Linked DNA regions of Saccharomyces cerevisiae S288C. The gene in region 2 interacts genetically with the main gene of each other region. Each region holds a gene or a part of one and is shown on either strand. Other genes may lie near its edges.

Region 1 (3,027 bases), 610 kb from region 2:
AGCCCTTCTTAGGCCTGAATTGAGGATTGATTTCACAGTGGAGACCAATTTTTTCGCATCTGGAGCAAGGATGAGGGAAATTTTGACTAGCATCGCATTTGATTTTGTGCTGTCTACAATGTGTACATGAGGTAACTGGTCTATGGTTGATTTGATGACTGTCATCATGGTGAGATATTCGTTGTTTCTTACTTGGGAACTGGTGCTGTTGCAACTGTTGCTGCTCCGGTTGTCTTTTCATGTGAGCAGAACTAAAATCTTGGTCTTGGTCAGAATCTCGATTATCCTTCACCATGACGAGAATGCGTATACGCAGAGCCAATATAATCTGTATACGGGACCTTTGACATTAAGGTTTCTGCAGAGAGTTTATTACATGCATTTTCATATATATATTTTTAACGCCATTCCTTTACGGTATGTAAAGAAAAATGATCCAATGAGCGGCCCTTCGTACGAGATGAGATATAATAAGAATGAAAGATAGATAAAAGTTTTAGTTAGAGATACTTCATATACCTGTATATAGTAAAGTCGTTTATTTCAAAGCTTATTTCGACTTGGTGAATCTTAAATAGGGTTTAATTTCATTAAATTGACCAAATTTAGCCTTCGCCTCATCATTGGAGACAGAGGGAGGAATAATGACATCGTCAGCTGGCTGCCAATTAATTGGAGTTACTACGCCCTCCTTGTCAGTCAATTGCAAGGCGTCGATTACCCTTAACACTTCAGAAGTGTTTCTTCCGACGGTGGAAGGGTAGGTAAAAATCAGTCTAATCTTCTTCTTGGGATCGATGACGAAAACAGACCTCACGGTCTTCAGTGACCCATCATTGATATTTTTGAATCCTTCGGCATCTACCATATCATATAGGAATGCCACGTTTCTAAAAGTGTCACCAATTATTGGGAAACCAACATTTTTAACCTTTGCTATTTCCTTGATGTCTTGAATCCATTTTTCGTGGGACTCAACATCTTCCACTGAAAGCCCGATCAATTTAACATTTCTCTTGTCGAATTCCGGCTTCAATTTGGCGAATGCGCTGACTTCGGTGGTGCAGACAGGGGTGAAATCTGCTGGGTGAGAAAACAAGACCCCCCAAGAGTCGCCCAAGTAGTCGTAAAAATTGATTTTACCAACCGTTGTGTCAGCATCAAAGTTAGGAGCATCAGAGTTTATTCTTAGTCTTGGTTGATCACTTTGTTTGAATTGTTTGCACAGAATAGGTGCTGTGGCAAATGTTTTAATCGTCTGTGATTGCAAGTGAGCCTGCTTAGGAAGGGTCCATGCCGTCCTCTTTAATTGAGCGCTACAAATTCTACTAAACATCCTTTGCTTCCTGCTTCTTTGAAATTTATCTCATCCTACTGCGAGAATCTAGAAGCACAATTTTCTATATCTCTCCTTCTCTCTTTATATACCAATAGCAGCAACATCCGGCCCCTTGTTTCTTTACGTAATTAAAAATCTCCGGGGCTAGCTTTTGCCGGGGAACCCATCCCGAAAAAATTGCAAAAAAAAAAATAGCCGCCGACCGTTGGTCGCTATTCACGGAATGATAGAAAAATAGCCGCGCTGCTCGTCCTGGGTGACCTTTTGTATATTGTATAAAGATAAACATAGTGCTATCAGGAATATCTTTATATACACACGCATACTGAATGTGGTTGAAGTTCAAAAAATATCACAAACGTTAAGAAGTTTTACTGGTAAACATATAGACATAGTGGAGCGCTTGCTCGAGGTCAAATGCAGACGGATACGAGAGCGCGGGAGGGAAACCGGAGAAGGTCAATATGCCCATAATTCTTCTTCTTTGAGGTTGGCAATTATATATTGTATCTGAATTAGGCAAATAGAAAAGAGACCTTACCATTAGCGCCATCGTAGAGTCCCATTTCACCTTTTCTTAGTTCTTTATATATGTCTGCGTATGGCCCACATATGCGCGCACAGTGCGCGCCACCCTCTAAGAACGATAAACATAAAATAAACACATAAACAATCAACGACAGTTCGCGCTTCCCTCACTAAATATGGCGAGATAGTTAAACAATCATGGCTCGTTCTTCCTTGCCCAACCGCCGCACCGCCCAGTTCGAAGCGAACAAGAGGAGGACCATTGCACATGCTCCATCTCCAAGTCTTTCAAATGGGATGCACACTCTAACGCCGCCCACCTGTAACAATGGTGCTGCCACTTCAGACTCCAATATACATGTATATGTAAGGTGCAGATCGCGTAATAAGCGAGAAATAGAGGAAAAAAGTAGTGTAGTTATATCTACACTAGGCCCACAAGGGAAAGAAATCATTCTGTCCAACGGTTCTCACCAATCGTATTCGTCCTCGAAGAAAACTTACCAATTTGATCAGGTGTTCGGCGCAGAATCTGACCAGGAAACAGTGTTTAATGCCACTGCAAAAAACTACATTAAGGAAATGTTGCACGGGTACAATTGTACAATATTTGCATACGGTCAAACGGGAACAGGTAAAACCTACACTATGTCTGGCGATATAAATATTCTCGGTGATGTGCAATCTACCGATAATCTATTATTAGGAGAGCATGCAGGTATCATACCACGGGTTCTGGTCGATTTGTTTAAAGAATTGAGCTCCTTAAATAAAGAGTACTCCGTAAAAATATCCTTTTTAGAGTTGTACAATGAAAATTTGAAAGATCTGCTCTCTGATAGTGAGGACGATGATCCTGCAGTCAACGATCCCAAGAGGCAGATTCGTATTTTTGACAATAACAACAATAATTCATCCATCATGGTCAAGGGGATGCAGGAAATCTTTATTAACTCTGCACACGAAGGCTTGAATTTGCTAATGCAGGGTTCGTTAAAAAGGAAAGTGGCCGCTACTAAATGCAACGATCTTTCATCAAGGTCTCACACCGTCTTTACAATCACAACAAACATAGTTGAGCAAGATAGCAAAGACCATGGACAAAACAAAAATTTTGTTAAAATTGGCAAATTGAATTTGGTGGATTTGGCAGGCAGTGA
Region 2 (2,737 bases):
CCTATGTCTCGGGCAGGGGACCAATTTGAATAGCTGAGGACATGAATAAATAAAATTAACGATTTGAGGAATGAATAGCAAAAGCATCGTCTTTGAAAAATGACCCAGTATACCAACGACTGCGAATACCATTCCAGCGAAATAACAATATGTATCTCCCACAAACACTGTGGCGGGCCAACGATTCCATTTCCATAGCGCCAAGGATACACCCAAAAATGGGATAATCAAAACAGCGGAAAACCTATGGGAGTCTCTTGTGGCTAATGGCCCCATCGAGAAGTACAGCAAATCGTTCAATAGCGCTAAGATGGCCAACACTATACATTGGCCAACCTCTAAACCATTAACACCTGCCAGGATGTTGATGGAGTTGGGGCAAAAAATTGCCATCGATGCCATATAAACATAATACCACAGCCCCAAATCAACACTAGTCTTTTTCAACCAGCGTTCCATGAATCCGGGAATAAGTACATGCGTAACTCCAAAATCCACATAATAAACCATTAGCAGTGGGATGGCTGCAATGGCAGGCAAGAAAAACTTATGTCTCCAACGTAAATCAAATAAATCATCAGCGATACCCAAGAGGACCGTACTTTCCAAGCATAGGATAGCGCTCAAATATTCAGATAGTTTATCATGAGGAAAAATATTAGAATTCATACCGTTATCTTCAACCACTGAGACATCGCGATGGCCCCCACCTGAAGTGGTTATGACCATATACTTGTAGAAAATGAAGGGAATGTAAATGAACATTACAAATAAATAAACTGCAGCAGGGATAGCACCTATTGTTTCTGGAAGCACCGGACGGCCAGGTTTACTCAAGTCCTTACCGAATAGGCCTATTTTGATGAAGGATTTGCCCACACGTGGAATCAACATATCTGTAGCTAAATAGCCTGCTATACCAAATCCCACGGCCGCAACAAGAGCAGATGGGCCCTGATTTTTGGAATAGTAGATTAAGCATGTGATAAGTGCCAGTGAAAAAAGTCGCAACATATAGTCTACTTTTTGTTACCGTTCTCCGCCTTGCTCTACTTGATAAAGTTTTTATTTACATATTTCACAGTTATATACACATGTTAACAATTTAATTTTCGCGCTGTTTAGTAAAGCATTTTTCGAGATTGAGGCAATATAAAAGGAAAGGGCCATATACAGGAGATGAAGGAAACCTGTACTATTATTGTATTAAACACATGGTAGTAGCTAGAAAAAATTCATGCATCAACCTCTGTGTTTGTATTCGTAACATATAAATCCACAAGAAATTTTTTACTCATCATCCGCTAAAAAAAGGAAAATACGGACGTTACTTACTAAATGTACGACGAACATGTACACAAATCTTGACTATTTTTGATAGATGCAGTCTCTTGAAATGACCAACGACTCAGTAGTGTTTTCCAAGCAATTTTACTTTCAACTGTTTAATATTTTTTAGAGGCTACTCGGCCGGCCATATCTAGACAATTAGTAATTCCGATGACAAAGAGTTTAAAACCACAATATCTGCCACACATATCGTGAAAGGCATTAGTTCCATTGTCTCCGTATTAGTGCAAAGCCCCTAAGCCAGCCTGCTTTAAAAAATGTGCAGGTACTTTTGTTATTGTTTTGATATATAAAGAACTACTATTTGCTAATATGTGATGTAGCGCAGAGAACTTGCATTTCCCTGCATGGCTGACCTTGACAAGAATACAATTAGCAACAAAAAGTAATAATTCAAAATGACCACATCTTTTTATGATTTAGAATGCAAGGACAAGAAAGGCGAATCTTTTAAGTTTGACCAACTGAAAGGCAAAGTAGTTCTCATAGTTAATGTTGCCTCCAAGTGCGGCTTCACGCCGCAGTATAAAGAATTGGAAGAACTATACAAAAAATATCAAGATAAGGGGTTTGTTATTTTGGGGTTCCCATGTAATCAGTTCGGGAAGCAGGAACCGGGCTCTGATGAACAAATTACGGAATTTTGCCAGTTGAATTATGGCGTTACATTCCCAATTATGAAGAAGATTGATGTTAACGGAAGTAATGCTGACTCTGTCTATAATTATTTGAAAAGCCAAAAAGCAGGTTTACTAGGTTTCAAGGGTATCAAATGGAATTTTGAAAAGTTCTTAGTTGATTCCAATGGTAAGGTTGTCCAAAGATTTTCCTCCTTAACAAAACCATCGTCCTTGGACCAAGAAATCCAAAGCCTGTTAAGTAAATGATATCTTTGTCTATAATCAAGCAATTATCCGGAACAATAAATAATACATTTATAGATTAGTATGATTATATATTTTTCTTCAGAAGCATGGTGTAGGATATATTAAAAAAAATCGAAATATAAAAAAAGAAGGTTTAATGAGTGGTTTCGTTTTCCGGAATTTTCTCTGCTACCAACTGTTCAGTTCCAACATTCGACGTATCCTCAATCTTCGCTTTTTTGCTCTCTACTCCATCAACGTTCTCCTTCTCATTAGCGGTCTGATCTGCAAATTCTTCCCTTATCCTTTTACCATTTTCATCTTCTTTCTTCATTCTATCTTTAGTGGCGTCATCCAATACAATCCCTGCGTTAAATTCCTTTTCCAAGCATTGCAGTAATGTATTTCCTCTTCTGGCTAGCTCTACAGGTGTCCTGCTTCTGAAGTAAAAGTCTAATTCGAATAGGGGACAATCTCTAATTTCATCACGCACTAATTCGTATACGTCATCTCTATCCAAG
Region 3 (2,860 bases), on a different chromosome or scaffold from region 2:
GACTCTTTGCTAGAAGATGAAATGGACAGCAGTAATATCGAGGTTGGGATCAACCGCGAGAAGATGGGCGAAAAGAAAAACAAGAAGAAAAAGAAAAATGACAAGACTATGCCAATTGAGATGCCAGACAAATACGAACTCGGCCCTGCATATGTACCGCAGTTATTCACTCCGACGCGTTTCGTCCAATTCTACGCCGACTTGGAAAAAATCAATCAAGAATTACATAATTCATTTGTTGAATCTAAGGATATTTTCAGGTATGAGATAGAATATACCTCAGACGAGAAACCATACTCAATGGATTCGTTAACAGTAGGAAGTTATTTGGATCTTGCAGGCAGATTATACGAAAACAAACCTGCATGGGAAAAATACGTCGAATGGTCATTTGCGTCTTCTGGATATAAAGATGATTAAGTTAATATACACATAGAAATGCATATCATTCTTCAATTACAGTTTCTTTTTCTTTTGTTACACTATTCTTTCAAGTCAATTTCATAATAATACAAAACCATCTTTCTTATCATATATAGGGTGATGTATTTTTAATTATTTAATAGGGCCTAGCGTTATCGTGCGAAGATTAATTATTGGCATTTTTGAAATACTCCTTGGAATCTTTAACGTCAGGTTTGATGGTGGCGGCTCCTGGGGTCCAGTTGCATGGCAAAACTGTACCATTTTTGTCAGTCCACTGGAAACCTTCGACTAATCTCAAAGCTTCATTGACGTTTCTGCCAACAGATAAATCATTGATAGTGATATGTCTAATGATTCCCTTCGGGTCGATTATGAACAAACCTCTTAAAGCTATACCTTCTTTTTCAATCAAAACGCCATAGTCTCTGGATAAGGAATGATTCTTATCAGCAAGCAAAGGAACTTTAACTGGACCTAATCCACCGTCTTTTCTGGGAAGGTTGGTCCATGCCAGTAAGGAATATTCAGAGTCGGTGGAGGCAAATAAAACTTGGGCGCCCTGATCTTCGAATTTCTTGGCGGCATCGGAAAACGCAACAATCTCAGTTGGACAGACAAATGAAAAAGCCAATGGGACAAAAGCTAGAACAACGTACTTACCTTTATACTTTTCCAGTGAAATTTCCTCGAAGATACCGTCGACTACGGCGGTTTTCTTAAATGGTGGGGCTTGTTTTTGAACTTCTGCTACCATGATTGGTTTTTTACGTTCTTGTAAGGCTAATATATTCTTGAGCAAAAAACAGTAATAGTGTTCACTTTGGATATTTCAAGATAAACAATGTAAGTAGCAAAAAACAATCGAAATTACAAAATATATTCTTACAATCGTCTGCTCTAAATACGTTAATCTAAATCTCATCCATAGTTGATCCTTGATTACTCGGGTAACAAACACCTTAGCAGATGTGTAAGAGAAAGGAGAGCCTCGCCCGCTCCTAAACGACGCCAATTGTAAGGGGGGATCAGCCCTTCCAACCCCCAATGACTAAAACTTGTAAACTAGAGGGGCGCATATAGTTAAGATAATCAGATACTGGCCCAATATGATATTGTCTAGATCTTGAGGATGACCAACCAACAGATTCCTGGCCACAGTATCCGTGGTCATTGATTTTGGCACTTGGAAATTCAAGAGATGGTTCTAGTCGTCGTAGCGCTTACTAACAAAAAAAACTAGCATAAGCCCGTTGAGAACTTTTACACTATATTAATTGAATAATTGGACGTTTTGTCGCTTTGCGACAGCACTCTCCTACCAGGTACATACTTAGTAATGTCTATATAGGGCTACATCATTTTTCTGCAAAGATAAAATCCTTCAATTCCTTGTAGGCCTTGTCCAAATCATCATTGACAATAACTTTGTCATGGGCACCTGTCTCAGCATATGCCAATTCAGCTTGAGCGGCGCTTAACCTCTTGTTGATGGATTCTTCGGTCTCCGTACCTCTACCTTCTAATCTTTTTTTCAAATCCTCGACCGATGGTGGAGCAATAAACAAAAACCTGGCATTTAACTCTGGGATAGCCTTGACAGATTTGACACCCTGCATATCAATATCTAAAATACAAGTCTTACCAGATTTACTGACTTGTTTGACGGAAGCGACAGTACTACCATAGTAGTTACCGGAGAATTGCGCCCATTCAATGAATTCATTGTTCTTAATCATAGATTTGAATTCATCTACGGAGACAAAGTTATAGTCCTTACCGTTTACTTCGCCAGCTCTTGGGGTTCTAGTAGTGGATGAAACACTAAACCCGAAAGAATCTGGGTATTCAGCGAACAATTTCTTCAACAGTGTAGATTTACCTGTACCACTTGGGCCAGAAATTACGATAGGACGGGACATAACGCAAAGGTTTACTAATCTTTATCCGAAGTAAACTGTAGTTATCAACTAAAAAGAAACGCCATTGTGTATCCATTTATGCTAAATGTATTTTTTTTTTTCTTTTTTATGTGTTTCCAAGCTTTTTTTCGAAATTTGGAATGTACCGATGAGTACGGTTGCTATTAGCATCGACGCCGCCGGAAAGACGCATCACATATTTCGAGAACCGAAACTTCCTGTCGATATAACCTACACTTCAAATAGCTATCATTTCGAATCGTCGCAGTTTTGACAATCACATTTATACACTTACTGTCGTTTTTTATGTAAAGGCTGTGAAAATTTCACCTTATTAATGCTTATAGAGCAGAGTTTAGGATGAATTTTGCATTGTAGCCTGCCGTGAGCACACACAAGGAGTAGCAGAGCAGTAGTCTTGCCAAAGGATTATGACAGATGATATACCTTGCACAAACGTGATAGCAAGGAACTGCAAAAGTTGATATCGAACAATCATTATTCACGGTGTGACT

Evidence for each region.
Region 1: mutations in GPX2 (region 2) and PRX1 impair growth when combined (synthetic growth defect), as found in Saccharomyces cerevisiae (one study listed by BioGRID).
Region 3: mutations in GPX2 (region 2) and TSA2 impair growth when combined (synthetic growth defect), as found in Saccharomyces cerevisiae (one study listed by BioGRID).

The regions. Positions count from the first base shown.
Region 1 is NC_001134.8:99,821-102,847, forward strand, and holds PRX1 (thioredoxin peroxidase PRX1), read right to left. Parts: upstream 1,337-3,027; coding exon 551-1,336; downstream 1-550. Other genes in the region: SEF1 (Sef1p), read right to left, coding at 1-295; KIP1 (Kip1p), read left to right, coding at 2,066-3,027. UniProt on the Saccharomyces cerevisiae protein: Thiol-specific peroxidase that catalyzes the reduction of hydrogen peroxide and organic hydroperoxides to water and alcohols, respectively.
Region 2 is NC_001134.8:705,780-708,516, forward strand, and holds GPX2 (glutathione peroxidase GPX2), read left to right. Parts: upstream 1-1,748; coding exon 1,749-2,237; downstream 2,238-2,737. Other genes in the region: ALG7 (UDP-N-acetylglucosamine--dolichyl-phosphate N-acetylglucosaminephosphotransferase), read right to left, coding at 1-1,014; chromatin-remodeling ATPase ISW1, read right to left, coding at 2,371-2,737. UniProt on the Saccharomyces cerevisiae protein: Glutathione peroxidase-like protein that protects cells from phospholipid hydroperoxides and nonphospholipid peroxides during oxidative stress. Plays an important role in the oxidative stress-induced response in the presence of Ca(2+).
Region 3 is NC_001136.10:1,364,483-1,367,342, forward strand, and holds TSA2 (thioredoxin peroxidase TSA2), read right to left. Parts: upstream 1,181-2,860; coding exon 590-1,180; downstream 1-589. Other genes in the region: PPN1 (endopolyphosphatase), read left to right, coding at 1-420; GUK1 (guanylate kinase), read right to left, coding at 1,782-2,345. UniProt on the Saccharomyces cerevisiae protein: Thiol-specific peroxidase that catalyzes the reduction of hydrogen peroxide and organic hydroperoxides to water and alcohols, respectively.